4 linked regions of the Saccharomyces cerevisiae S288C genome follow. The protein of the gene in region 4 binds, or shares a complex with, the protein of the main gene of each other region. Each region holds a gene or a part of one and is shown on either strand. Other genes may lie near its edges. The genes, in order: NKP1, AME1, MCM21 and CTF19. A codon is read from its position in the direction of its gene.

Region 1 (6,738 bases), on a different chromosome or scaffold from region 4:
AAAGAGGACTATAAGCCAAGATTAATTTTGTTTGAAGGTGACGGTGCAGCACAGATGACAATCCAAGAACTGAGCACCATTCTGAAGTGCAATATTCCACTAGAAGTTATCATTTGGAACAATAACGGCTACACTATTGAAAGAGCCATCATGGGCCCTACCAGGTCGTATAACGACGTTATGTCTTGGAAATGGACCAAACTATTTGAAGCATTCGGAGACTTCGACGGAAAGTATACTAATAGCACTCTCATTCAATGTCCCTCTAAATTAGCACTGAAATTGGAGGAGCTTAAGAATTCAAACAAAAGAAGCGGGATAGAACTTTTAGAAGTCAAATTAGGCGAATTGGATTTCCCCGAACAGCTAAAGTGCATGGTTGAAGCAGCGGCACTTAAAAGAAATAAAAAATAGAAACTTGTGGGCGCAATTATAAAACACTGCTACCAATTGTTCGTTTTCTGTTCATTAACACATAAAAAACCCTTATGTAACTATATTTACAAAGTAAATACGTATATTAAAGCTATTTTACCACTACCACAGAGTTCTTTGTCCAGTTGCTAGTATTTTTTTTTTCGCGACGAGGCAGGGGCGGGGAGACGTGTTGTTTTTCCACGGCTTTCGGCTCACCACTTGAAGAACTATAAAAGGCCGCCAAATTTATCCTTTTTCACTTCTTCCGTTCGCTTTTTTCTGTCATTCCTATCGTGTGTTTAGTAGTAGGTTTTTTTGTTAGAAGAAGTTTTATCCGAAAACTATCGAAGACAAATAGATAAAAAAATCTCCCTCGTTCTATTTGAAACTTTAAGAAATCCATATTAAGAAAATACCTACATCTGCTAAATGTCTGCTAACTTAGATAAATCCTTAGACGAAATCATTGGCTCTAACAAAGCAGGAAGTAATAGAGCCCGTGTCGGTGGTACTCGTGGTAACGGTCCAAGAAGAGTTGGTAAGCAAGTTGGTAGCCAACGTAGGAGCCTTCCAAACAGAAGAGGCCCTATCAGAAAAAATACTAGGGCACCTCCAAACGCAGTCGCTAGAGTTGCCAAGCTCTTGGACACCACTAGAGAGGTCAAGGTCAACGTCGAAGGTTTGCCAAGGGACATTAAGCAGGATGCTGTAAGAGTATGTTAATACGTGAAATGAGAGCTATTTGTTTAGTTACTCGCATCGTCTCGTGTGGATACGAGAAATATTCTTTGTAAGGAAGGATATGGCACACGCTTTTGATCAAGAATTCTCTTTTTAGAGATGAAGAAAGAGTCCGAAATACTTCGCTAGAGAAAATACAAAAAGAGTATCGTTTTCATAAGCCAACCATACCAATTTTTTTCAATACTTCAAATCATGGCCTATAAGGTTGGAATTACCAGCTACCACTGAGAATGGGTTTGTTCTTATTGGCTGGGTTAACTCAAATCAATCTGACTATCTGCTAATCTGTCAATCTTACATTTTTAAGCTGGCGTATTGTGTCGCCTCGACCGTGATAGTTAGTTCCTATTTTTAATAAGCGTATCATCCAATACTGAAGTTGTGGAAGGATCAATTAATTTTGTATCCTTTCAAGAGGGAGTAGCTTTCAGTTTCGAATGGCACCATTTTCAAAAAATAGCTATGGGAAACATGTCTTTCATGAACGTTCGAAAAGATATGAGTGCATCGCTTCATTTTTTTATTATGATAGTTACAAAAATATTTGATTTGAGACACCTAATGAAACCAAAGAGGAACTCACCCATCGTGGTACATGTTTATTTGAGGGTTTATTTTTCCTACGCAATGGTATACTTTTAATACTCTCAACTCCTTGATTGTTTGTGTATTGTCCCTTCCTTCTTTGATTTTATATCATAGAGATATATGACTAACTTTTTTTTTTTTATTATAGGAATTTTTTGCATCTCAAGTAGGTGGTGTTCAAAGAGTTTTGTTGAGTTATAACGAAAGGGGCCAATCTACTGGTATGGCTAACATCACATTCAAAAACGGTGAATTGGCCAGAAGGGCTGTTGAAAGATTTAACGGCTCTCCAATCGATGGAGGCAGATCAAGATTGAGACTTAACCTAATCGTTGATCCAAACCAACGCCCAGTCAAAAGTTTAGCCGACAGGATCAAGGCTATGCCACAAAAAGGCGGAAACGCTCCAAGACCAGTAAAGAGGGGTCCAAATAGAAAAGCTGCTATGGCAAAATCCCAAAACAAACCAAAGAGAGAAAAGCCTGCTAAGAAAAGTCTTGAAGATCTGGACAAGGAAATGGCGGACTATTTCGAAAAGAAATAATTAATTGTCAATTTTTTGTTTGATTTAATTTGGTTTTATTAAATTTAATTTTTCCGAGTTTCATTATGTATTAGTTTCCAGAAAATTTAAAGGATTAAAAAATGTATTAATAAAACTTTGATATGTTTATGTAATAATATTTACCACCGCCACTAGGTGACGCTAACCTACTCATCGGTGACGGCTTTTCTCACTTTTAAAGTTTATTCGGCATATTTGACTCATAATATGTCACTATTTACAGTGCGATGAATATATATATACATAATACTGCATTGAAAAAATGGATAGGTTGATTAAACGTGTGTTACTCGTTTCTCCTCCTATCTAAAAAACCTAATTTGTCACCTCTTTTTCTTGTTACAGCACTAAGCCCGCTACCTTCATATTTACTCTTTCTTACTAATTGATGGTCCTCAGAGCAATCAATGTTGTCTCCTCCATCTTTAGGTATGGGGAACCCTGGTTTGACTTGAGCAAGGTTATCATAATAGTTTTTTTCATTCACTTCACCATTGTTTCCCCGCGCCTTTGGTATAAATTTAGCATCTCTTCTAGCTTTCACTATGGTCTTGACCACATAAATAGACGCAATCCCGGCTGCAGAAATGTATAGTAAATTCTTACTGTTGAAATCGCATTGGTAGTGTTTTCCTACTTTCGTCTTCACTTTGGTTATATATATGGTGCAATCAAACTCTGCTTCAAGGGATAGGCCAATAAGGAAATAACCAAAAAAGAAGTCCGGGAAATAGAAAAAGATATCCAATGTTAGTTTAGGCTTTACGAATAGATGTTTCCCTATTTCTTTTACACATACCCTATATTTTGAAATGGATTTGACATTGTATACTTAGTACGGCTCAAAGAATGAAATATTACTATATTTATCTCTTCATCTGCCTTGATTTTTTTATATGCAAGCAGGACGCTCGGGTTTGTAAGGAGGAAGATTGAAAAGGATGTCTTCAACTAAAAGGCGAAGAAGGAAGCGACACATTTGTGATGCTTTGAGGTCAGTAATGTAATATATATATATATATATATATATATATATTATATAGTGTAACTGCTCTTATTTATCTTGTCTATTCGAACCCAACAAAAAAGGCTGCAGTGGGAATCTGTTCATGTGGCTGTATCACAACCAAGGGCTACCGTTTAAGAATACTGGAGAGCTCTTGTCGTCTCTAATTTTATGATCACGTGCCCATTCTAGTCATTACGCAGGTAATGCGAAAATTACAGTATGGATCGTGTAAAGTTACCAAGCAGAAAAATTGTAATAATTTTCTTTTTCCAAATTTTCTCGGTATCTGAAATTTTTCATTTAAGAGATGATATTTGGACTTACTCTAAACTATTACTTTACGTATCTTTGATTTAACTTCCAGTTACAGATCGTTAAGGAATAGTCCGCGAATTTATTACCGCTTAAACTGATTATTTCAAATATAGAAAGTAATATCTATTAATCAACAACAGAAATGAAATACTTAGCTGCTTACTTATTATTGGTTCAAGGTGGTAACGCTGCCCCATCCGCCGCTGACATCAAGGCCGTCGTCGAATCTGTCGGTGCTGAAGTCGATGAAGCCAGAATCAACGAATTGTTGTCCTCTTTGGAAGGTAAGGGCTCTTTGGAAGAAATCATCGCTGAAGGTCAAAAGAAGTTCGCTACTGTTCCAACTGGTGGTGCTTCTTCTGCTGCTGCCGGTGCTGCCGGTGCTGCTGCCGGTGGTGATGCTGCTGAAGAAGAAAAGGAAGAAGAAGCTAAGGAAGAATCTGATGATGACATGGGTTTTGGTTTATTCGATTAAGGAATTTAATTAATAAACAATTTTCTTGTTTTCCTTCATTTTACAAAATCTGGTGTAAATCCTCGATTCCATTGTGATTTAAAAATAATTAATTACTGTATAAGATTCTATATAGACAATTAATTGAAAATAGTATTACTTCTTTAACTCGCTTAGGATTTTTTTTATTTTTTCTCTCTTTTCCGGAGAATTGCCAAATGTTTTCACGGCCTCTTCCAATAATAGCTTCATTTCTTCCAACGCAACTACTAGTTTCCCATTGTAAGTGGCGAAGTACTCGCTGATATCATCATCTTCAGAAGCTTCTTTAATGGAAGTTGTTAAAGAATTTATAGAATTTGTTTGGCTCAGAATATCTGATAATTTACTTTCGCCTATTTGGAGAGCCTGACATTTCAGTATTAAATCTTTCCTTAAATTACTATACTCGCTTAGAACTTTGAGATCATTTTCCACTTCAACTTCCTCTTCGTCTGCTACTTCCATCTGCGGCAGCTTCAACACATCTTCAATTAATCTCTCTATCGATGTACTCTGAGGTTCACCCTCAACTCTATTTCTTAGTTCACTTCCAAGAGAGTACTTTGGTATGTCTCCAACAAGTTCCATTATCTGCTGCGATTGACTGGCTCTCAATTCAGACTCGTTATCGTATATCTCTTTGCTCAGTAAGTCTTGTTTTCCCCTGCTCATGGCATCCTTTCTCTTTTCAATTACTTGAGCCTTTAGTAATCTGCACACTTCATTTGGTAATTCGCCTGCTAGGTCATCCATGAGGTAGTCATCACTCGACAGCAGTGCGGTCAATTCATTTTCTATAAAATTGGATATGCTATTATATGTGTCTGTCATCTTATTCCTACAATCTATTGTTGCTTTAGTTTCTGTGCACATTTACCAAAAATATTTCTTCGCATGTAGATTTACCTCTTTTCCCCTGTGACGCGTCATCGTTTTTATATCACCTTTGAACAAAGCAATATATCTGTACTCAAAAGGTACAAACGAAAGTTTTGTTCACGAGAAAGAGATATTTTACATGCGAATTAAATCTTGATTGCCTGAATTCTTCACTATTTTATGATTTTTCCCTTCCTTCTTGAAATTTGATTTATATTTAGTCCAAATATTACAGAAAAAAAAAAAAAAGATGCCTAAGCCTTGGGTCTTATTTCGAACAAATCCATCCATCGGTAACAATTCAAAAAAAGAATATTTCGTCTCGAACAATTTGCTAAGTATTGTGGGTAAATGATATATAAATTTTTATAAAAACTCTTGGCCAAGAAAAAAAAAAAAGACTATGTCTAAACGTAACGTTATCATTATTATTAAATCATTTTAATGTTTTATAAGTTTTGTTTTTCATTTCATACCCTTTAAGGAGCATTTGGCATTGTGTGCGCCCTGAAGGCTAAATAAGAATTTGAAGGACTCACCACAGAACAGTATAGCGAATACCAACCGCAGCAACTACTTAAAATTCCAAAATAGCCACCGGCCATTTTGAGATTGTTGTTGTCAATGAAGGTGCCGATACACAGTAGTAGGAAGGTAAGATCCAAAAACGTCAATAGTAAGAACAAACCCCACGTGCTCTTCAATGTACACATCAACATCAAGAAGGTGAAAACGGTCCAGCCCGCAAGGAAGAACCCAATGACATTGTTCAACATTGTGGGATCGGTATAGCCGCTGACCAAATTATCAGTATCTGTTAGCCCATAACCGTAGCAGATCCAGAACCCGCCGAAAGAACTGAACACAGTCATGGCGTATGTGTCCCCAATGACAAAACACAATAACCCGGCAAACAATTCAATGGCACCACCAAAAAACATAAACAAACTTAGCGCCCATTTACCATCAGTGACGCCGCGAACGTTCGCATTAATTAGCGACAGAACTAGACATGACAGAGAAAACGATGCGAGACCCAAAGGAACCGGATTAGCGAACTGGTGCGGAGTATACTTTGCACAGTTTCCTTCCTCCCCATCCCCTCTGTCTAGTGCATTGAGCAAATCTCTGCGCCTGTAGGTGGAGGATCCTAGAGTAATGAAGTCTCTGTCGGAGTATATCTCTTGAATATTAGGGAAGCCCTGCGAAACGCCTGCAATCGAACCCTGCTGGGGGAGCGTCTCAATATTTTCTAGAGTGTTCACACCCTTTTCCAAATCCTGTGGAGAAGAAGCAGACGATGTCATTTTAACCAGTATTTTTATTTTTTATTCTTACTAAATCTTTCTGGGAATGTATTCAGTTATATGTGACCCAACTGTTTATAAAACTGGGGGAATATTAGGCAATCAAGCGAAGCTCATCGATGAGTATTCAATTTGCTAAAAAGTTGTTTTATTTAAATATTCCTTCTGAGTCACGGTCATCGTGAATAGCGTTAAAATTCTCAAATCCATTGGTGTTTCCATTAGGCCCTGAGCGGTTCCCCAAGAAAAAAAAAAACAGTAGAAAAAAATGATGCTTCTTCCTAACGCTATTGTAGTGCAGGTTCTGCCGTGTGCCAAGTTGGAGCAGCGCCTGCTGAGACTCTTCCGTATGGTTCTTGCTCTTCTCAGGACCAGCGGCGGCAGTTCCGGTTTTTTTCGGCGTCTTTTGTCTGGCACA
Region 2 (6,786 bases), on a different chromosome or scaffold from region 4:
AAAACTTTCCCCGCAAGCTGTTGGAAGATGAATCATTTATTATCTTTTGACTGTTAGCTACATTACTAGCTGTTATCAATCTCTCAGACGATTATATGAATATTGAGATAGTTGTTGGGATTAACTTATTGTTAGAGGCTATAGCATCAGATATACAAAATAAAATAAAAAGTTCTCCTCCAAGATATAGTGTAATCGATATTTCGATGTAATGCCATCATTATTTCTTCTATTTTATGTATTCCTATTGTCCTCTAACATTGTATCTGATAATATTCTAGTAATAGGATTACCATCACTAAATGATAGTTAATTCTCATTCCAAAACCGACTCCTGTCAATATTGAGGACCCATTTATTCCAACGGTCCAAATCCCCAATATTCCCTGCTCGGCAAGAAGTTAGAAAACATATCTTTCGTGCTCTTGCAGGCTTGCTGTATTATCATAACCGAAGGATGACCAACTTTGATCACCCCAGGTGGCAAAAACATAATACATGGTGGTGGTGTCGTTGTAAAAATCATCTTCTTTGGGTGTGTATAGGATCCCATCCAACACACGTGTTAAAATGACATCAGGTATCAATGCTAATCCGTCGTCACTGACAATAAGCTGAGTTGACATCACCTGATGATGTGAAATAGTAGCAAGAGAACTAGGGTAAGGTTCATGCTGGTTGTTTTCCTATGATGACCAACCTTTGGAATTGGGTAATTCTAGGTGTAGCCTGCTAGCCATCAAACGAGACCTTTCAAAATCTTCAGTCATTACATTTTCTTCTGTAAATAGGGAAAAAAGCCTTTAGCTAGGATTGTTCGGCAATAGAAAGCCCTCCAGTTTAAACTTGACATAGAAAATCTTTAAGGTTAAATCAAACATAAGTTATTATCCGATATAGTGTAACGGCTATCACATCACGCTTTCACCGTGGAGACCGGGGTTCGACTCCCCGTATCGGAGTTATTTTTTGTTTCTATACCATTATTTTTCTTGAATGTTGCATTATGATAGTATAGTTTTGCTATACAAACTTCAATTCTCAAAACACAGTACGTCTAGCTCACTACTACTCTCTCTAATTCAAAATCGTTCACTTCTATCGAAAGCTGTGATAATTTGGAAATATTGTCGTGGGCCACGAATGATTTTTCAATTACATTGCTAAATACGAAGACATTAATACCTTTATTCATATAAGCACTTTCATTATCATTTTTTACTAAAGATAAAACTAACTGCAGGCACCAAGAAGTTCGAAGCCAAGAGTAAAGATGTCAGGAACCGGATTATCGCTATTCGTGACGGGTCTTATACTGAATTGTTTGAATTCCATTTGCCAGATATACTTTACTATATTATATGGTGATCTTGAAGCAGACTATATCAACTCAATCGAACTGTGTAAGAGGGTGAATAGGTTGAGTGTACCAGAGGCAATTCTACAAGCTTTCATTTCTGCATTGTTTCTTTTTAACGGGTACTGGTTCGTATTTCTCTTGAATGTCCCTGTTCTAGCATATAACGCAAGTAAAGTCTACAAGAAAACACATCTACTGGACGCCACGGATATTTTCAGAAAATTGGGTAGATGCAAAATTGAATGCTTTTTAAAATTGGGATTTTACCTTCTCATATTCTTTTTCTACTTCTACAGAATGGTCACAGCGTTACTTGAAAATGATGCAAATTTGATAAGCTAATAGCGACAACAGGAAAAAAAAAGAGAGATTTGTGCATATCTATGAAGTATGTCTACCACATAAAAATGACCTTATAACACAACTTCCTTAGTATGGAAGTAATACATATATACATATATACATATATACATACATATATATATATATATATATATATATACATCTTTTGAACCAATTCCCTATAGACTTGGTTGTAATTCGTTAGAAAGATTTTCATTAATTTTATTTATCTTTTTCAGAAGTCCGTTATATGGATCCATCAAGTCTACGAAATGTGCAATATCCAGAATATTTGAGTCATCCCGTATTGAATCGTCCTCGCTATCTTGGCTCATAATTTTGCGATCTCCCTCGTATTTGCCTAGCAAAGTAGAAGTCAAATCATTTAGCCTCTTATTTAGCTTCACTTTGTCGTTCAGTTTGGCTTGTTCATTTTGTAAGTCATGCCAGTCTTTACCGGCTTTCAACTCTTGAATTTCATTTCGTACCGATATTATCTGCTGGTTCAAATCTTCTTTTCGAGCAAGTACCTGCTTCAGTTGGTAGCAGAGCTCATTATTCGACACGTTGATATCTAATATGTCTTTCAAGTCTCTGGTCATTTGGTCTGATATCGTTTGAAAGAGTCGCAGATCTAATTTGTACAATAGTTTCCTAAATTGATCATCATCACTTTTATTGAAATCCTTCAAAGCTTGCGGAATCAAATCATTTTCAAATAAGTTTATGAATAAAGAAGATAAAACATCAATTGTGGTCACAGAAGTGATAGACGATGATAGCTGTCTAATGGGTATATCATCGAAATTGTAACGAGTAGTAAGGTCTTCATCATTTCTAACATTTTGCGGCGATTCGCTTATAAGACTTTTATTTTCAGAGTCGATCATGGGATAGTCTTCTGCATCCAAGGGCTGATACCCATGTTCATGACGGTCCTGCGCATTTACGTTATTAGTGGTAATAGGAAACTCGAAAGAATTCGCAAGTTTTGGTGAAGACAAAATGGGTTGAACAGGAGATTGAATAGGTGAGTTCTCCTCTCTATAAACAGCATTTGGCGTCTTAAATACAATAACATCATCATCTATATCGTCTGTCCTTCTTGAATGACTGCCCCTCAGCCTAAAAGCTAATTTAGTGTCTCTATCCATACTGAGGTTTTTCTTTAAATGAACACGCAAATAGTCAAGACAATACAGAGCAACACAGGACACGTAAAAAAATGAGAGCAATCGCTTCTTATACTGCAACGATGTTGACCCTTGCCATAATAGCTAATGAAATCAATCATTATCATTTCTACTAGTCCTTTAACAATATTTGGATACACCATTAAATTTCTCCGTACAACACGATAAAATATTTTCTACCAGCTTCAAACGGCTGTGAAGGGGCGATAGTGCCGTTCCAAAAAGCGTTCCCCAAACTTGTATTCAAGACCAAATCTTAGTCAAGCAAGCAGTTTCGCACCTTCATACACTCCATTAAAAGTGAAAATAAGCATATTTGTAATTAAATCTGGTTATCATACCCTGTTCCCTTTAGAACCAATATACATAGACGCAGTCGACAAAGAAGCAATAAAAGAGATTACCATTCTTATTCACTATTTTTTTTTTTCTCTGACTCTTCATAGTTGTACGGAAAACCATCTGCGTGTTATATCCTAGTTCCAAATATTCTGATTTCTCGTGATCGAATCTGTTATATTGTCATATATTGTAATTCCATTTTTTTCCCGGTTCATTTTTTGATATTCTCTTCCTGTTCCAATATTAATAAAGGAGGCTTTTTTCTTTCCCTTTCGTTCTGATTTATATTGTTTTTACTATTATTGGATCTTTTAAATATTACAGCTTTTTCATATCCTTCGCCATCGATTTTTGCCTGAAAAATTTACACAAATGATGTCTAACGTTGCTAACGCCTCCCAAAGACAGGAAAATCCATATATTATTCCATTGCCTCCTTCATCCACAGTGGAAACTTCTACTGAACCCCCAAGAACGTTATGGATGGGAGATTTGGATCCGTCCTTCGACGAGGCCACGATTGAGGAGATATGGTCAAAACTGGATAAAAAAGTTATCGTTAAACTAATTAGAGCCAAAAAAAATTTGTTGATTCCTTGTAGCTCCACCTCAAGTAGTAATAACAACACAAGTGAGGAGAATGCTGAAAACCAGCAATCTGCATCAAACAGCACTGATCAGTTAGATAATTCCCAAATGATTAATATTAATGGAATATCCTTCATTGATCCTTCCACTACTCAATTACATCATGCCGGATACTGTTTTGTCGAATTTGAAACTCAAAAGGACGCTAAATTTGCCCTGTCATTAAATGCTACACCTTTACCTAATTTTTATTCCCCAACAACTAACTCCCAAACTAATCCAACGTTCAAAAGGACTTTCAGATTGAATTGGGCGTCTGGAGCTACTTTACAAAGTTCTATACCATCTACCCCAGAATTTTCCTTGTTTGTTGGTGATCTTTCTCCCACCGCCACTGAAGCTGATTTGTTATCTCTTTTCCAAACGAGGTTCAAATCTGTTAAAACCGTCCGCGTGATGACTGACCCTTTAACAGGATCATCTCGTTGTTTTGGATTTGTCAGATTCGGTGATGAAGATGAGCGCCGCAGGGCACTGATTGAGATGAGTGGGAAATGGTTTCAAGGAAGGGCCTTAAGAGTCGCTTATGCCACGCCAAGAAATAATATGATGCTGCAGTTACAGGAACAACAACAACAGCAACAACAATTGCAGCAACAGCATCAGCAGCTAGATCAGGAGGATAATAATGGCCCTCTCTTGATTAAGACTGCAAATAATCTCATTCAAAACAATAGCAACATGCTTCCTCTCAATGCCTTGCATAACGCGCCTCCAATGCATTTGAATGAGGGCGGCATTTCAAACATGCGTGTAAATGATTCACTACCTTCAAACACCTATAATACAGACCCCACTAATACTACTGTTTTTGTGGGAGGACTGGTACCAAAAACTACCGAATTTCAATTACGTTCACTATTCAAACCCTTTGGACCCATTCTAAATGTCAGGATTCCCAATGGTAAAAACTGTGGGTTTGTTAAATTCGAGAAGAGGATTGATGCTGAAGCTTCAATACAAGGCCTGCAAGGCTTTATTGTGGGCGGCAGTCCAATAAGATTATCATGGGGACGCCCATCCAGTTCAAATGCTAAAACAAATTCGACCATCATGGGGGCAAGCCAATATATGTCCTCAAATGGCCTGAGAGCGCCATCTGCGGCTTCTTCAGTCGATAACTCCAAACAAATTCTTGAACAATATGCGGAAGATAAAAGGCGACTCTTTTTACATCAGCAGCAGCAGCAGCAGCAGCAGCAGCAACAGGATGGTAACTTTTCTATGGAGCAAATGGCGCACAACAACTATTACAACTACAATAATTACGATTATCACAGGAACAAGAATGGCAGCCATAGCGACCTCGTTAATCTGCAGAGATCTAATGTCCCGTATATGCAAGAAGACGGTGCACTGTACCCACACCAATATTCAAGTCCCTCATACTCGCTCCATCCGACGGGCAACCAATTCTCCAATGCTACTAATAACTTACCTCAATTTGGGAACGCGATGTCAATTTCTATGCAACTGCCCAATGGCAACAGCAATAAAACGGCCTCAAGCATGAACACAAACCCTAACACAAACATGATCATGAATTCTAACATGAACATGAACATGAACGTAAATCCAGTACCATACGGAATGGGAAACGGTGCAAATATGTATGACGTGTCCAGGATGATGACTCCTCCCTTAAATATAGCCCCGAATTCCAATAATTCGAAATCGAGCATCATGAACAAGCATCCTAATAGGAACAATGTTCCGCCAATTCATCCTTCTCTTCTACATTGATTACAAAAGACAAAAAAAGAAAATTTTAATCTTGTCCGCAGTTTTATCTGCGTCTCTACGTTCTTACGTTTCTTCTATTAATGCCATTTCAGTTACAACCTAGTCAATTGTCGATCCATAATTCTAATCAAATTTGTTTTTCCTCTATACTACCTATCTATTTTTATCTATCTAAGTACATTTATTTACTCAAACAGTTCCGTTTCAAAGTGTTTTATATTAACTATATATGCGAAAAGCTGGCGTCATAATTTCACGTGTTATAATAGCCATGCTGACGGAAAAAAAATGTGAAAATCGCTACAAAGTCCGATGACTACGGGCAGTAGCATGTAAATGATGGACACACACACACACATATATATATATATACATTTACTTCAATAAAAGGCTGTGCCAGACATTTTTGCCATACATTGTTCATGAAGTGTGCAAAATAAGAGAGTGTATAATAGGATAAAAAATGGTCAAATCGCTACAGCTAGCCCATCAATTAAAAGACAAGAAAATACTACTAATCGGAGGCGGAGAAGTCGGCTTGACAAGGTTATATAAGCTGATACCTACAGGTTGCAAGCTGACTTTAGTATCTCCTGACCTACACAAATCCATTATTCCGAAGTTTGGAAAATTCATCCAGAACGAGGATCAGCCCGACTACAGAGAAGACGCTAAACGCTTTATCAATCCGAACTGGGACCCCACGAAGAATGAAATTTACGAGTACATCCGCAGTGACTTCAAAGACGAATACCTCGACCTAGAAGACGAGAACGACGCGTGGTACATAATAATGACCTGTATACCCGACCACCCTGAAAGCGCAAGAATATATCACCTTTGTAAGGAAAGATTCGGTAAGCAGCAGCTGGTCAATGTGGCGGACAAACCTGATCTCTGTGACTTTTATTTCGGCGCCAACCTGGAGATAGGAGACCGTCTACAGATTCTGATCTCTACCAACGGCCTTTCTCCGCGCTTTGGCGCTCTAGTAAGAGATGAGATCCGTAACTTATTCACACAAATGGGGGATCTGGCGCTGGAGGACGCTGTCGTCAAACTAGGTGAGCTGAGAAGAGGAATTAGGCTGCTGGCACCAGACGACAAGGATGTCAAGTACCGCATGGATTGGGCCAGACGCTGCACAGACCTCTTCGG
Region 3 (7,114 bases), on a different chromosome or scaffold from region 4:
TAATTACTCAAAAACTCATGATAAGGTTGAGGATTATGATTTGCCTCAAGTAAACGACTCACCCAATAGAATTTTGTTTGAAGATAATGAAGTCGTAGAGAACTTACCACCTGCCGATAATCCGGATCAAGATCTTTTAACTGATTTCGAAACAAAGATTGATATAACAAAGAGGACAGCGCCTGATGTCTCCCACTCCTCCTCACCGACTTCTGGTATACTAATTGAAGAAAATTCGCGAAGAAATGAGCCCCTGATAGAGGATAGTCTTCTCGACTTTTCAGAAGGAAATCTCACCAATAGTAAAAGCAATGAAGATAGCACCCTCTTCAATGAAAACAGCAACACTGACTCTACAATACCCATCTCAGATATTGAATTATCGGGGTATAACGAATTTAAGGCGAAAGGTACTAGTTTGTTCAAGAACGGGGATTATATTAACTCATTACAAGAATATGAAAAGTCTTTAAATACATTGCCTTTAAATCATCCATTGAGGATCATTGCATTATCAAACATTATTGCCTCGCAACTGAAAATCGGTGAGTACTCTAAGTCCATAGAAAACTCCAGCATGGCTTTGGAATTATTCCCATCAAGCAAAGCTAAGTGGAAGAATAAAATCTCAAATAGTGACCCTGAAAGATCATTTAACGACATCTGGCCAAAGATTATGATTAGGCGTGCTGAGTCTTTTGAACATTTAGAAAGTTTCAAAAAAGCACTAGAAACATACCAAGAGCTGATTAAGAAGAATTTTTTTGATGATAAAATCATGCAGGGAAAAAGAAGATGCCAAGACTTTATTAATCCTCCCCCTGTTAAAAAATCCATGCCCGTTAAGAAGAAGACAACGACAACCTCGCCTGCAACAAAAAAACAGAACTTAACCGCTTCTTCTTCAAATTCTCCAATTTCTGTTGATAGCACTTCAGAAATAAAAAAACGGGAGCTAGAAAACGCTAAACTGGCGCTATATGATAAAGTATTTGAGAAAATTAGCTCCTGGAAGGATGGCAAAGACGATGACATTCGTCATCTGTTAGCAAATTTATCCAGCTTACTAACATGGTGCAATTGGAAGGATGTCTCTATGCAAGATTTGGTTATGCCTAAGAGGGTCAAAATTACATACATGAAAGCTGTAGCCAAGACACATCCTGATAAGATACCAGAGTCCTTGTCCCTGGAAAATAAGATGATTGCAGAGAATATTTTCAGTACTTTAAGTATTGCTTGGGATAAGTTCAAACTGCAGAATGACATTAACTGATTTCCCTTGTGTGCCTGCTTCGCTCAGTTGTTTTTGATATGTACTTTATACAAATATATATAGGAAAACAAATTCTTCAAAGCGCGTTAGGAAAAAGTATGGAAAGGCTTAGTTTCATTTATTGACTTACAAGTGGCACCCAATTTGATTAATATGAAAAACAATCTGCAAAAAAAAAAAAAAAATTCAAAATATCACAATGTTAAAACACAATAGAAATAGGGCATTGTATTAAAACCACTGAACGACTAAAAATTGAAAAAGATTATGATACGTCAGCTCAATTATTGGTCAAGGAAGGCGTATCTCATTTACCCCTTTCAAGTTTTTGTAGGCGCATTATTATCAATAGTAGTATCTTCAGAAACATTAAACCATCAAAAAGAGACATGCGCTCTATTGAAATCGTCCAATATTTTCAATGTTATTTTTGCATACAAAGCGAACCAACTGTGGCCATTTTTATTCTTTAGTTTGGCTTTTCTGCAAATATACTTCCACTATCTAGCAAGAATGGATATATTGCCTTTACCAATATCAAGTACCGAAACTAGCTCTTCCTATTTAACATATACTAACCATTGGCCTCTGCTCAAAAATAGAATAATCAGTATTATGATCACTCAATATGCTTGCAAGTTCGTTCTAAAATATCTATTATTGTTTTTGAATTTCCAATTTATCGATCATGTTTTCATTTGGACAGGGGGAGAATGCAGTTCTGGTAGTAAAACGACATCAGCTGAAAAGTGCCGTCTAGAAAATGGGAAATGGGATGGTGGGTTTGACATTAGTGGACACTTCTGCTTTCTTGTGAGTATAAGCATGATTCTTTGGATGGAACTTCACTTATTCAGTAGATTTGTTCAAGCTGAAGATATGTTTTGGGTTGTGAATAAGTGGGTACGAGCTTGCCTTGCCATTGTTTGCGCTGTCCTAGTAATTTGGATATGTATTCTCTGGGTTACCGCTATTTATTATCATACTATCTTGGAAAAAGTGTTAGGTTGCCTTATGGGTTTCATATGCCCTGTTTTCATATACCACATTCTACCCAAAATTGGGATACTACACAATTACTTATATCTATGATAAACAGAGAAAATTAGCTCTATCCTCTTTCTATAAAGTATATTTTTGTTAACATTCACTTGAATATTGTCGCGAAAGAATGGTTTAATTTTAATTCCAAATCATCCAAAGAACCGAGCAATGCAATTTCCCATTTACTTTTATTATTTTGACTAAAATCATGAATATCGTCCAATATTGAACATGAAACTATTTCATTTTGTTTTACAAACAACTCGACTTTAATATCCTTCACAAAAAACGAAACCATTGAAGATTCTAAATCTAAATCTAAGTCGTGGATTATCTTCTTAGCTTCTAAGTCCTTAAAAATCTGTCGTCTTTTCTGTACTTCCACAAGTTGCAGGAAGACTCTTTTAGCAAATAAATAGGCGTCATCATGAGATATCACTAGTCCCCCATTGGTGTCATCAAATATACCTTGGACATCAATGAAACTCGGGATTGTATGCTTGAACAGGAACCAACTATTCGATTTGATCCTCTTTTTCAACAATACATAGTGAGGTTTTTCAAATTGGGATGTCCGTTCGCTGAAGACTTCCAGTCGTATTCCCAGCATTTCTCTATCAACAAATATTTCACCGCTAGCATCTTTTATCTTAAGGTCAATAGGGTCCACAAGAGGGAAAAATGTTATACCAAACATTCTATAAACATTTTCCAGGACAATATAATCTTCCAACTCACTTCTATCACTTGTACTAATATCGTCTATTTTTAGTTTTCGCTTTCTTTTTGAAGGTGACGTTAGAATGTCTGTATCCAATAAATCTGCCACCCCAGGATCAAACATTTGATGCTGAACCATTGGCTGGGTCTTTAAAACCCATTCTTGTTCTGGTAAAATTTCCTCATTCTCCAGCTTAGCTCTTTTCTTTGGTTCATACGGTATTGGCGTTGCTGGTATATCCGCTTGCGCCCTTGATATGTCCTTGTCATCTGTCTCTTCCAATTCTGGATGCTCATTAAATAAAAAATTATTCAACTGTGGGAATTGATCGAATAGATCTTCAAATTCTTGTACTATAGGATTAGCGCTCTCCTCATTTTTTCTTTTATCTTTTATCTTCGCTTTGAGCTTCTCACGACTTTCTTCTAATGAATTGACTGTGAAGATTCTACTATGTTAGTGTTCAACTTAATCATTTTTTTAAAAGAAAGAAAATTGTTACAGCCTCAAAATCACATACTTTCACTGAGTAAAGATTCAATGTCCTGCTGTAAATCATCGATTCTACTCATTGCCAGGAGCGTTACTGATAGTTTGAAAGAATTGCTCAAGTAAAGAAATCACATTTTCCCCTCATTATCCATATGGCTTTTGTTTGTTTTTTCTTCAGTTTTGAAATATGCGCGTTTTCTTACCATCATTATAAACTTAGGGAAGATCTATCATAGAATTGGTCGGCCATTACTGGCGATTAGTAAAACAATACATAAAGTTTGCATATTCAATGCGATAAAAATTTAAGACGGCCCAGGTATCGAATCCATGATATAGTGGTTCTTTTATGTATTAGGCTACTATTTATTTAATAACTTCGCATCTATCAAAAGAAAAGACTGACTGTTCACACAATCATATCAATTTGATAACTGCTAATTACTTCCAGCTTAGGTCCCGCCTCTTTACTTTTCCTTTCAATCGCCATCAAAGAGGCAACATAAGAAACCTTTGAAACTGGGACAGCGTATCCTAATAATGCAGATCCTGGCATCCTATATATACTGGAAGCAATTATTTCGCTTAACTTTGTTCTTAAGCCAATCCTTCTGGCCTCACTGATATATTTCTTTTTATAAACTAAAAGATAGTGAGGATAATAAAAAATTTTTTCCAAGAAAGTGGAGTTTTCTTTACCCAATTCAACGTTTATAGGATTTCCGTGCTGTCCACACATCGGACCTGGCCTCAAAATAACTAGCTCCTTTAGCTTATTTGGCAAAGCTTCATCCAAGTCATTTTCTAATTTAGCTTTTATTCTAAAATACTCGAAAGTTTTACTAAGAAAATCATTATTAAAGGCAGTTGTAACCACCAACCTTTTGTTAGTTGTATTCGTGAATTCTTGTGCTAAATTAAAAGGTAAGTAATAGTCAGCAAAGGAACTTGGTACCTGAGTTCTCCGCACTCTAGCTGAGGTGGAGCCCAAAGAGCACACCATAGTGCTAATATCACACAGACTAGGCAAACTTCTACCGGGAACGTAATTTTTGTTGTCAATGTCAAACTTTTCCAGCTTTTGTGTTCCTGAGAATATCCGTGGAAGCAATTTTGGCCAAGTTTCAGATCTGGGGATGATCAATTGCGTTACAGTAAAATTACAAATGATCTCAATACCTTTTTCCTTTCCGCATGCATAATGTAGTGTGTAACTGAACTGTTTCTGATTATAAACAAAAGAATAACCATCTTTTCCCCTCTCTTCAGGCGTATTTTTAATAAATCCTTCTTCAAAATTATCATAACAAAAAGTATTAGGACTAGACGGTACTTTTTCAGTGTCTTTTTCTTTCCTGCTTCTCAAGTAATATCTGCCACCTTGCCAAGTAACTGATCTCATATTTATATAATCAATGGTCTTCATAAATGATTTCTCCTCATTGATGCACCTTCTATTAACACAAAAGACATGTTTATTGAGAACGACATTTCCCTTTATTTCACTTAAGCTATCAAGCTTGCCTTGTAGGTCCGAAACATTTTTAATATATAAATTTATGTCCAACAGGTTCTCTAAAATACCTTTTCCTACTAAACTAGATGATCCAAACAATAAAACGTAATCTGTAAACGTGTTGACACTATAACTCATTTCTGATCAACCTTTCTAGTTTGGAATATTCTTCAAAGGGTCTATATGTATAAAAAGCTGTCATTTATATTAAAAAGAATTTATAGCGTTTACTGCGGATCAAAATTAAATACGTCAATTTTTCTTAAAATTTCTTTTAATCTAAATGACACAAAAAATGTCACCCATCATTATATGTATTGAAAACCAAAAAAAAAAAAGGAAAATTATACTTTCAATGAAAGACACAAAAATGAAGAAGTTCAAGGATATAAAAGTTAGTTTTTACCTGTTGAATTATATGCAGAGTTACTGTTAAATTACAACAACTTATCGTTTCTTGATGAGTATTCAAGGTGACGGAATATTATCATATATGATGTAATAAAATGACATAAATGATAAGAATGCGTTATCAAATTTAAAAGCAACTGAAACGCACGGATTGATGATAAAAAAGGATAACGATTGGTAACATTTAGACTAAAGAATAGATCGTAATATAGGAGATTTGAGAAATATGTGGGTAATTAGATAATTGTTGGGATTCCATTGTTGATAAAGGCTATAATATTAGGTATACAGAATATACTAGAAGTTCTCCTCGAGGATATAGGAATCCTCAAAATGGAATCTATATTTCTACATACTAATATTACGATTATTCCTCATTCCGTTTTATATGTTTATATTCATTGATCCTATTACATTATCAATCCTTGCGTTTCAGCTTCCTCTAACATCGATGACAGCTTCTCATAACTTATGTCATCATCTTAACACCGTATATGATAATATATTGATAATATAACTATTAGTTGATAGACGATAGTGGATTTTTATTCCAACATACCACCCATAATGTAATAGATCTAATGAATCCATTTGTTTGTTAATAGTTTGAATGTTTTTATCGGAAGAGGTTTGGTCATTACGTCTGCAATATTCTTTTTGGTTTCGATATAGCATACGTGCAGATGATTTCCTGATACTTCATCTCTTAGTCTCATTGCTTTAGTACCAAAAAATCTGTTTCTAAATTTCTCTTCATTATTGGATATAATTATACTGATTGTAGATTTACTGTCGGTTAGTAATCCTTTAGTAATTGGTTTCTTGTTAAGTTCTTGCACAAGGTGACTGAGGTTATTTAATAATGGGACAGATTCACTTATCGCGTGTATTTCTGCTTCCGTAGTTGAAGTACATGTTAATGAAGCCTTGGTGGACTTTCCTCCAATTACCTTTCCATTAAGTAAATATATGTTGCCAATTTGTGACTTGTAATATGGTTGGTTACCATATGAAGCATCACTTATTGCGACTAGTTTATTATCTGGCTCGGTAGGTTTGTTTTTGTGCCATATCAGTTGTTTATCTCTAGTGTCCCACATGAATTGTATTAACTCATATGTCATGTCTAAAACTTGCCTAGAGGGGAATAGTATATGTTGAGCAAGTGTGTTGATGTAGTATAGTAAGTCAAATCTAAATTTATATCCAACATATGAAGCTAGACCAATCAACTTTTGCATTTCATGTACCTTCTCTTTGTATTCATCTTCATCTATTTCTAGTTCATCCTGGTCTATATAAAGACCTGGTTGACCTGGAGCGCTAAGTTTTCTTCCTTTTGGATTCAAAGGTACGTTTAATTTGGGTATTTTCTCAGTTAATGAGTTTTCCATACCTAATTTCATGTATTTACCTCTTTGATATTTGATTTCTAAGCCAAGTATGTCGTACTGAATTTCGTTATCACTTTCACCCAGATTTATTATCTTTGTATCGTATTGTTTCTTGAGTGTTGTTATGATTTTCTTATTTGCATTTAAGTCTTTGCTGAACAATATCATATCATCAACGAATAAGCAAATTGTTACTTGACTATTCTTAAATACGCATGACCATCCACGAACTTCTTCCATACCACACTGTTTTATCAGGT
Region 4 (7,143 bases):
GTCGTTTAAATAATTGAATCTTGACGTATTGGTTCTTTTTTTATAAATACCACTAAAACTGGCTGATCTTCTAGACTCGGAGGGATTGTTCAATACCCGAGGATAACACCTATATGTAGAAATTGGGGAGAATAAAGGGGAGTAAGGGTTCTTTTTATGATACTGTAGTGTGTTCCGGTGCTTATCTACTTCAACTGACATTATTATGATATCCAAAGGTCAGAGGAAGAAGAGGAAAAAAACTGAAACAGAAGTAGATATTGATGAATAATTTTAATTAGCAATATAGATTTGCGGAGCTGAAACGAACGTTTCAGCTATTTTTTGATCTGGGTTTAACTATCACACACATCTTCTCATTATGTGCATTTTGAATTTTGAAAATAAAAAGAGGCGGCGCCGGCACCTGCTGAAAGCTGTTTAATATGATTTAATACGGAAGAGCAAATATGTATAAATAGAGAACAATTAATTAATTATGATAGTAACTGGTACTTGTGTAATATATGTGTATATAAAAAATATACATGTTCTTATTCCCCAACCAAATTGAAGATAAAATCTTGAATTGGTTTTAGTGTACGGGGTAACGAAGGCTGGGAGGAAACGTTTACTAATCCTCTTTCCCTCCTAGCGGCCTCTTTAAAAGCCACACTAAAGTTAACAACCAAGGTAACGATTAATACAACTGCAACCAAAATAGGTCCCACAGGTGCATCCAAATGCTTACCACTTCTACCTTTAATAAGAGTTAATCTTTTTAAGTAGGTTCTATAAGCCCATACTCCGCAAAACAAAGTCAAAAAGAAATATACATAGGCCAACAGATCAGCTAGTTGTGGAAATTCGGCTTTTTGCACTGAATTATAGATAGAAAAGGTCAATACACTCAGCAATGTGGTTACACTTAACCATCTATTGAATGTACGTTCATTGGCGAGCCAAACTTTTGCCTCAACTTTGACAGGACCGGCATTTTTCAAAAGGTGAACTGGTTTTTTAACTCCCGGAGGTAATTGGAAAGAAGAGGCACTGTCTGTATCGTCGGAGTATGGATCATTTCCATTTTCTGAAATATTTTTTCCAGCAAGAATTTTCAAGAAAGCTGCATTCGTTTTGAATTTCTTCCCTTTTTTGACTGCAGATTTCTTGGGCAATGCAGTACCTTCTTCATCTGATGATTCGTGATCTTCTAAATCTGCAATAACGTGGCGAGTATTCTGATCTTTTTGCCCTTGTCTTTCAGTGGTCTTTCCATCTGGTACAGAGATTTTGGATAACCTTCTCATATTATCAAGTTTATCATGAATGCTCTTTTGTTTTTGTAAAGTTTTCTTCTCTTCTTCGTAAGCCTCCTGAGGGTTCTTTCTGATGTCGGTTTCTAAATCGGGCAACCAGAATGGCAAAATGTTGACATATTTATCGTCTTCACCAAACAGTGAAGCCACACCTTGCAAGTACAAAGAAAATTTTGGAACTTCGTTAACTAAATGTGAATTAGTTAAATCTTTAATCCACTCATAATTAGGCATTTGAGAATTATCTTGGTTTATAACCTTAATCTCCATTACAGAATAGGGGAACTTCGAATATTCTCCTGCTCTTAAAAACCTCAATGGGTTGGGAATATTGGAATCAATATCGTCACGGTGCCAATTCTCAGGGTTCCTAATGGGCCTATTTTTGTCCAAAGAATCCTCTCTAATGTACATGATATTGGAATCGATAGTGACTCTAATACTTTGATCTCCAGGAATTTGGAAAGCAGTTCTATTATAGGTAGCTCTCAAAACTGGCTGCAACTTCTCCTCAACAATAAAGTTTTGGATGTTATCAAAGTCTCTAGAAAGTTTTTCCAGTTCCTCCTTTTGAGTACCCCTTTCTCTTAGTTGATTAATTAAATAGTTTTTGTAACTGGGATCATTTTTAAAAATAAAATTGTTGATGAATTTGGCTTTCATTTGCAATCTGATTTCTTCAAAACTTGAATTACCAGTTTCGGTATTTTCTGTAAAAGTTCTCTTTTCCAAAAATATGTCAGGTTTGTCTAGCAGTTTACCGATCCATCTTAATCTCAGCGTAGGTGCACCGCTGATTTTCAACAATCTGTTATTGTACAAATCAAAAAAATCGTTGTCGAAATATAATGTAGTGATTGTTGGATCATATGACTGTGGGAAAATAACGCTCTTTGATTTTCCAATTTCAACATCTTGGTTGCTATTACCATCACTAGAAAGGCTGTTACTCTTTGAACCAATATTCAAGCGCGCTTCAGGTTGTACGCGGACATCTGATTCTAGATTATCGACGAAATCGTCATTTTCATTTGGAACCGACGCATAAACCAAAGCAGGTAGATGCCTTAAGATTCTAGCCTTAACCTCCATTATATTATCATCATGAACCCAAAACTTGTAGCTTTTAAAACTTGCGTCTTCAAGGTTAGAAAAATGTGATAATTTAGAAGTACTTGCTAATGATTTAGACACCGTATTTGGATGATCATAATTTGATCTCAAGAACTCGTACAGATATGAGATCCTATACAACAAGGGAGAATACTCTTCTGAATTGTTGAAAGGAAGTTCTTTCAATCTGACTTGTAAAAGAGACTTTACAGAAGGATAGTTTGGATGTAATTTATCGTGTTTCTTCACAATCTTGATAAACCCAGTAAAATTTAACCTGTCAAAGTTATCCAATCTTTGAGCCTCATCTAGACATTCTTCTAAGGTGTTTTTGAACTGCTCAGAATTTATTTTTTGGATTTTTTCAGCTGATTTAGTGTTTTCCTCTAAATCATCTAATTTTCGCAAGACAGCATTATATTTGGAAATTTGAAATGTGTAAACCTTTTCTAGTTCTTTATCCAAGGCCTCCACAAAATCAGATTCATTCCTTTCGGACCAACTATCCACGGAACTACGGCCATCATGTATGACGCTTTCCTTTAGTAATTTCTTCAACCTTTCATAGTCGATATATGAATCCTTCCAGGGAGGATATACGTCGTTAGCCAGTTTAATACCAAATAGCATTTTCAAACTCTGAAAACCAAGGACAAATTCTGCTGTTCGCTCTAATAGCCAAATGACCTATAGTGATAATAAAAAAAGCGCTAAGGAGGTACTACTTGGATTAGATCACTCTTATGCGTATTATTACCCGCCAATGGGCCCTCTCGATATTGAGAAGATGAAGTAAGTTCGAGAAAAGATGTCTGATGTAAGCCGCTCTCTGGCCTCTATTTAAAAGTTCTTCCTGGATGAAACCCACTCGAAAGTTGGGTGTGTGCGTGTGTGTATGTTTCCACGTTTCTGCCTTGTGCTTTCAAAATCGCATGCACGTGCTTGCGACTGCACTGTGTTGTATTAAGCCACGTGGGCCCTCGCACATTGAAAAAAAGAAAAGCTGTACAGGGAAAAATGTGCCAAGAAGTCCAAATACCAATAGCTGTGCAAGTTACTCATTAACATCCAAACCGTGAAGGTCACGGCATATATACTCTGGCGTTCTACTATGTGGCCGGTAATGTAACCGGTAATGGTGACTATCTAATAGTTGGAGTCCGCCGAAAAATCAGAAACGCGTAATTTAGACTTATATAAACAGCTATATACCTTGGAGCTAGTGTGATCTTGTTGATACTAGGTCGGCAAAGAACGCAAATATGGATTTTACGTCTGATACGACGAATTCGCACGACACATCGAATTCGCATTTAAGTCTGGAAGACGCTGTGGGTACACATCATGCTGGTGAAGCAGATGTAAACATTGATGGGGACGAGAAGCAACAACTATCGCTATTAGATGATGATCAGGTACGCGCACTGAAGCTACAGGAGGAGAAGGATGCGCTGTTGACAAGGAGAAATACTCTTTTACAAGAGATCCAGACGTACCAAAATATCTTGATGAAGGAAAATAACAGTAAGACTAAAAATGGTGATATCCTCCAAAACGATATCACACAGGATTTTCTTAATCTAATCTCGATCTCATCCTCTAATCCTAATTCGGCGATAAGTGACCGCAAGCGGGTCGAGAGGATCAATGGGCTAACTAACTTGCAGAAGGAACTAGTAACAAAATACGACACGTTACCTTTGTTAAATATGAATCTACGGCTAAGTTATTTGAGAGACCACACATACCCGCATCTTCAAGTTTCTGTGCAATCAAGAGACAGAGTACATAACGATGGGATTGAAGTTTTGGTGGTCAATTATAAATTCTGCAGAAACACGATGAATCCTTTTGAAATTCAGTTCAAAATGTTCTATAAATTTGAAGATTCCACACTGCTGAAGTGGGAAATCTTGCGAATTTCCACAAACGTTAGACTGAAGGCCAAGCAATTACTGGCAACACGTAACTTCCAGAAGTGTCTATTAAGCCTTTATGAGTTTGATAAGATCAAGTCCAAAAAAACTGGAATTTTCCAAAATTTGATTAATTTATTGAAAAGGAAAACCAGGTGTTATCTAATGAATAATAGTGACTCATTAATTGTGGAAAGAGTTATTAGAGAAGGAAGACTCACGACGATAAAATTGCAGATAAATTTCATCATTACAATGCCCGGTGAGAGAGGCAAACCTCGTAACTGTTTTCTGCCCATGAGTAAAATTTCAATAGCGCTATGGAAGGGGGGAGAAAGATTTAACCAGATAGATTTGGACGAGATATGCTACGGACTTATCAAGGAATATGGTGTGAAAACCGGGTTAAAGGAGATCTGCAACGTTTGCCTATTCCCGGACATGTACGCCAGGTGATGTTCCATTTGCCATTGCCAACTGGACGGCTTGCTTAAACGATTCCGATAAGCTCGGATGAGGGAACGGTACTTTACAGACATCATGGGCGGTAAGGCCAAGCGACACCGCCATCGATGCTTGCGACAGCAATTCATTTGCATCGTCGTTTATCATATGAACGCCTAGTATTTTCATGTCACGAGAATCTATCAGAACTTTAATGAAAGGAGAAACTGTAGTATTCTCTTCCCGTGGTAATAACGTGTTATATCTAACGTTCTGTGAGAACAAAACCCTGCCTTTTTGATATGGGATGCGAGCCTTTGCCAACCCCTCCTCAGTGTATCCGACCCAGCCAATCTGAGGCTGACAGTACAGCACATTTGGTGGGAAGCCACAATTCGAGGTTCCGTCGGAGCCTGTACAGCCTATTGATTGAATGGCCCTTATAGCTTGTTCTTCCGCTTTCAGCGCCAGCATGGGGCCCAATGTAACGTCTCCTATGGGTTTAATATGAGGGTACTTTAGCAGACTTTGGGTTTGTACGTCAACATTTTCTACAAAATCCCGTTCGTCTAGACCAATGCTGGAAATATCTAAACCTTTTAGCAGGGGACGTCTACCAATAGAAACCATCAAGACGTCGCAATGATGTACATATGTTTTCTTTGACACCTTGTTAAGCAAGGTGATGTTCAGCTGACCGGCAGCATCGGCTTCCGCGAGCTGCACTCTAGTGTCTAAAAGAAAAGCTATACCCTGACACTGCAAGAGGGTCTTCGTGGCAGAAGCCAACTCATTGTCCATATTTTGACAGATCTCGCTTTGAGATTCAACGATAGTAACCCGAGAGCCCAAATTATTGAATATGCATGCGATTTCTAGTCCAATTGTACCTCCTCCCATGATAGTAAAACGTGAAGGTATATAATCCAGTGACAATGCCTTATCAGATGAAATTATCTTGTCATTATCTATTGCAACACCAGGACACTGAATAACCGCAGATCCGGTCGCCACAACAATATATTTCGCCTCTACGATGAACGGTTTCATGCCGCGCTGCGCAATCTCAACGTGGTGAGGATCTTTGAAAGCAGCCGTGCCTTTATACACAGTAACATTATTTTTAGATAGCTCACGTTTATACACATTGCCCAACTCTTCTATATTATGTTTGAGTGCACTCTGGGCCGCCTGCATATCGAATTTTGCAGGAAACAGCCGCGTGCCACGTTGCTCGATAAGTTCTTGCTGTTGTAGCAGCCGATAAAGATAAGACTCATATAACAAGGTCTTGGACGGGACTGCCCCGTCTACAAGGTAGGCGCCCCCCAGCGAGGCACGCTGGTCAACACATGCTGTGAGCAGGCCTGCTTGCGAAGCCTGCATCGCTGCAGTAAAGCCACCAGGCCCGCAACCAATTACCAGGACATCGTAAACTGCCGCAAAATCCTCCATCGTGCTTAATATTTCGTCTTCACCTCCCATTACCAAAAATGCTCACCGTTAATTATATCATACTTCTCTTCTCCTCTCGTAAAATCGTGCGCATGTTAAATAGCCGCCGAAACAGCAGATGCATGCCTGCAGGTCTGGGTGTACCCCCTGCCTGAGTGTTCCACCCAGGCCTCGCCGGAGGAAAATGCCACCGCACTCAAGTTCGCACAGAAACTACCGCATAAATTTATTCTAACCCGGAACTGACGTTTATCGTGATATGAACTTTGGGTATCTCCGATTACGAAACGACGCCACCCCTCCTTCCCCAAAGCACCGAGAAAAGATTTTTTTTAAAACTGAACGCTGATTGACTTTACGTATTATTACCACTATGCATTATTGTTGTTTCTGTTGTGGTTGTTGCCAGTTGTAATCATATTCACATTGCGTTTTAGTCATAACCACCTTCCGGTATTCATCATTCGTATTGAATAACAATATTTATACCGCAAAACACTATACGGCAAGGCAACTGATTACACTTTGTTTACCTTATTTTTTTATTATTTATTTTTCTAGAAAGTATTGTTGTGTGGCTCTATCCTTATTACACCATCTCTGCTTTGGCATTTCGCGTTGTTTCCTCTCACGGATTGCAGATTATTGTTCACCAGGTAATAATCACTGACTGGCGGCTATTTTCCTATTACACTCATTATTCTTAAAATTTTCTTTTTCTATCTCTATTTTCTTTCTTTTCGTGTCTTATAATAATAATAATAATAATAATAATAAAAATAGTAATAATAAAAATAGTAATAAATAAAGATGGATTTCTTTAATTTGAATAATAATAATAATAATAATAATACTACTACTACTACTACTACTACCAATAACAATAATACTAATAATAATAATACTAATAATAATAA

The links.
Region 1: the proteins of CTF19 (region 4) and NKP1 are in contact, whole or in part, in a cryo-EM structure (PDB 8OVX), measured with the Saccharomyces cerevisiae proteins. Residues at the interface, in NP_015307.1 of Saccharomyces cerevisiae: Met194 (codon at 4,253), Asn195 (codon at 4,256), Leu226 (codon at 4,349), Lys229 (codon at 4,358), Gln230 (codon at 4,361), Thr303 (codon at 4,580), Met304 (codon at 4,583), Pro305 (codon at 4,586), Gly306 (codon at 4,589), Glu307 (codon at 4,592); in NP_010671.4 of Saccharomyces cerevisiae: Ser169 (codon at 4,461), Asn172 (codon at 4,452), Ser173 (codon at 4,449), Asn175 (codon at 4,443), Ser176 (codon at 4,440), Leu177 (codon at 4,437), Thr179 (codon at 4,431), Ser180 (codon at 4,428), Glu183 (codon at 4,419), Lys238 (codon at 4,254).
Region 2: the proteins of CTF19 (region 4) and AME1 are in contact, whole or in part, in a cryo-EM structure (PDB 8OVX), measured with the Saccharomyces cerevisiae proteins. Residues at the interface, in NP_015307.1 of Saccharomyces cerevisiae: Thr222 (codon at 4,337), Asn223 (codon at 4,340), Arg225 (codon at 4,346), Leu226 (codon at 4,349), Lys227 (codon at 4,352), Lys229 (codon at 4,358), Asn275 (codon at 4,496), Asn276 (codon at 4,499), Asp278 (codon at 4,505), Ile294 (codon at 4,553), Gln297 (codon at 4,562), Asn299 (codon at 4,568), Ile301 (codon at 4,574), Thr303 (codon at 4,580), Lys320 (codon at 4,631), Ser322 (codon at 4,637), Arg331 (codon at 4,664), Phe332 (codon at 4,667), Asn333 (codon at 4,670), Gln334 (codon at 4,673), Ile335 (codon at 4,676), Asp336 (codon at 4,679), Glu339 (codon at 4,688), Ile340 (codon at 4,691), Gly343 (codon at 4,700), Leu344 (codon at 4,703), Glu347 (codon at 4,712), Val360 (codon at 4,751), Phe363 (codon at 4,760); in NP_009770.3 of Saccharomyces cerevisiae: Lys249 (codon at 2,112), Leu252 (codon at 2,103), Arg255 (codon at 2,094), Leu256 (codon at 2,091), Leu259 (codon at 2,082), Leu263 (codon at 2,070), Leu264 (codon at 2,067), Asp277 (codon at 2,028), Ser278 (codon at 2,025), Glu279 (codon at 2,022), Ile283 (codon at 2,010), Arg284 (codon at 2,007), Asp286 (codon at 2,001), Ile289 (codon at 1,992), Leu290 (codon at 1,989), His294 (codon at 1,977), Val296 (codon at 1,971), Asp297 (codon at 1,968), Asp300 (codon at 1,959), Tyr302 (codon at 1,953), Asn303 (codon at 1,950), Lys307 (codon at 1,938).
Region 3: the proteins of CTF19 (region 4) and MCM21 are in contact, whole or in part, in a cryo-EM structure (PDB 6QLF), measured with the Saccharomyces cerevisiae proteins. Residues at the interface, in NP_015307.1 of Saccharomyces cerevisiae: Asn129 (codon at 4,058), Gly130 (codon at 4,061), Leu131 (codon at 4,064), Gln135 (codon at 4,076), Leu138 (codon at 4,085), Val139 (codon at 4,088), Lys141 (codon at 4,094), Tyr142 (codon at 4,097), Asp143 (codon at 4,100), Thr144 (codon at 4,103), Leu145 (codon at 4,106), Pro146 (codon at 4,109), Leu147 (codon at 4,112), Met150 (codon at 4,121), Asn151 (codon at 4,124), Leu152 (codon at 4,127), Arg153 (codon at 4,130), Leu154 (codon at 4,133), Tyr156 (codon at 4,139), Leu157 (codon at 4,142), Arg158 (codon at 4,145), His160 (codon at 4,151), Thr161 (codon at 4,154), Tyr162 (codon at 4,157), Leu165 (codon at 4,166), Val167 (codon at 4,172), Val169 (codon at 4,178), Arg172 (codon at 4,187), Leu183 (codon at 4,220), Val185 (codon at 4,226); in NP_010604.4 of Saccharomyces cerevisiae: Asp156 (codon at 3,065), Leu160 (codon at 3,053), Glu161 (codon at 3,050), Asp162 (codon at 3,047), Tyr163 (codon at 3,044), Ile164 (codon at 3,041), Val165 (codon at 3,038), Leu166 (codon at 3,035), Glu167 (codon at 3,032), Val169 (codon at 3,026), Tyr170 (codon at 3,023), Met172 (codon at 3,017), Phe173 (codon at 3,014), Gly174 (codon at 3,011), Ile175 (codon at 3,008), Thr176 (codon at 3,005), Phe177 (codon at 3,002), Phe178 (codon at 2,999), Pro179 (codon at 2,996), Leu180 (codon at 2,993), Val181 (codon at 2,990), Asp182 (codon at 2,987), Pro183 (codon at 2,984), Leu186 (codon at 2,975), Glu194 (codon at 2,951), Ile195 (codon at 2,948), Glu207 (codon at 2,912), Val208 (codon at 2,909), Phe209 (codon at 2,906), Glu211 (codon at 2,900).

Annotation. Positions count from the first base shown.
Region 1 is NC_001136.10:1,235,712-1,242,449, forward strand, and holds NKP1 (Nkp1p), read right to left. Parts: upstream 4,966-6,738; coding exon 4,249-4,965; downstream 1-4,248. Other genes in the region: phenylpyruvate decarboxylase ARO10, read left to right, coding at 1-414; RNA-binding protein YRA1, read left to right, coding at 847-1,131, 1,898-2,293; COI1 (Coi1p), read right to left, coding at 2,601-2,919, 3,114-3,139; ribosomal protein P2 RPP2B, read left to right, coding at 3,781-4,113; putative ammonium permease ATO3, read right to left, coding at 5,493-6,320. UniProt on the Saccharomyces cerevisiae protein: Component of the kinetochore, a multiprotein complex that assembles on centromeric DNA and attaches chromosomes to spindle microtubules, mediating chromosome segregation and sister chromatid segregation during meiosis and mitosis.
Region 2 is NC_001134.8:644,277-651,062, forward strand, and holds AME1 (Ame1p), read right to left. Parts: upstream 2,857-6,786; coding exon 1,882-2,856; downstream 1-1,881. Other genes in the region: ERV15 (Erv15p), read left to right, coding at 1,274-1,702; NGR1 (Ngr1p), read left to right, coding at 3,610-5,628; bifunctional precorrin-2 dehydrogenase/sirohydrochlorin ferrochelatase MET8, read left to right, coding at 6,092-6,786.
Region 3 is NC_001136.10:1,100,257-1,107,370, reverse strand, and holds MCM21 (Mcm21p), read right to left. Parts: upstream 3,614-7,114; coding exon 3,562-3,613; intron 3,479-3,561; coding exon 2,424-3,478; downstream 1-2,423. Other genes in the region: auxilin-like protein SWA2, read left to right, coding at 1-1,276; YFT2 (Yft2p), read left to right, coding at 1,544-2,368; HIM1 (Him1p), read right to left, coding at 3,943-5,187. UniProt on the Saccharomyces cerevisiae protein: Component of the kinetochore, a multiprotein complex that assembles on centromeric DNA and attaches chromosomes to spindle microtubules, mediating chromosome segregation and sister chromatid segregation during meiosis and mitosis.
Region 4 is NC_001148.4:513,978-521,120, forward strand, and holds CTF19 (Ctf19p), read left to right. Parts: upstream 1-3,673; coding exon 3,674-4,783; downstream 4,784-7,143. Other genes in the region: SUMO protease ULP1, read right to left, coding at 1-201; VTC3 (vacuolar transporter chaperone), read right to left, coding at 534-3,041; IRC15 (Irc15p), read right to left, coding at 4,757-6,256; SWI1 (Swi1p), read left to right, coding at 7,037-7,143. UniProt on the Saccharomyces cerevisiae protein: Component of the kinetochore, a multiprotein complex that assembles on centromeric DNA and attaches chromosomes to spindle microtubules, mediating chromosome segregation and sister chromatid segregation during meiosis and mitosis.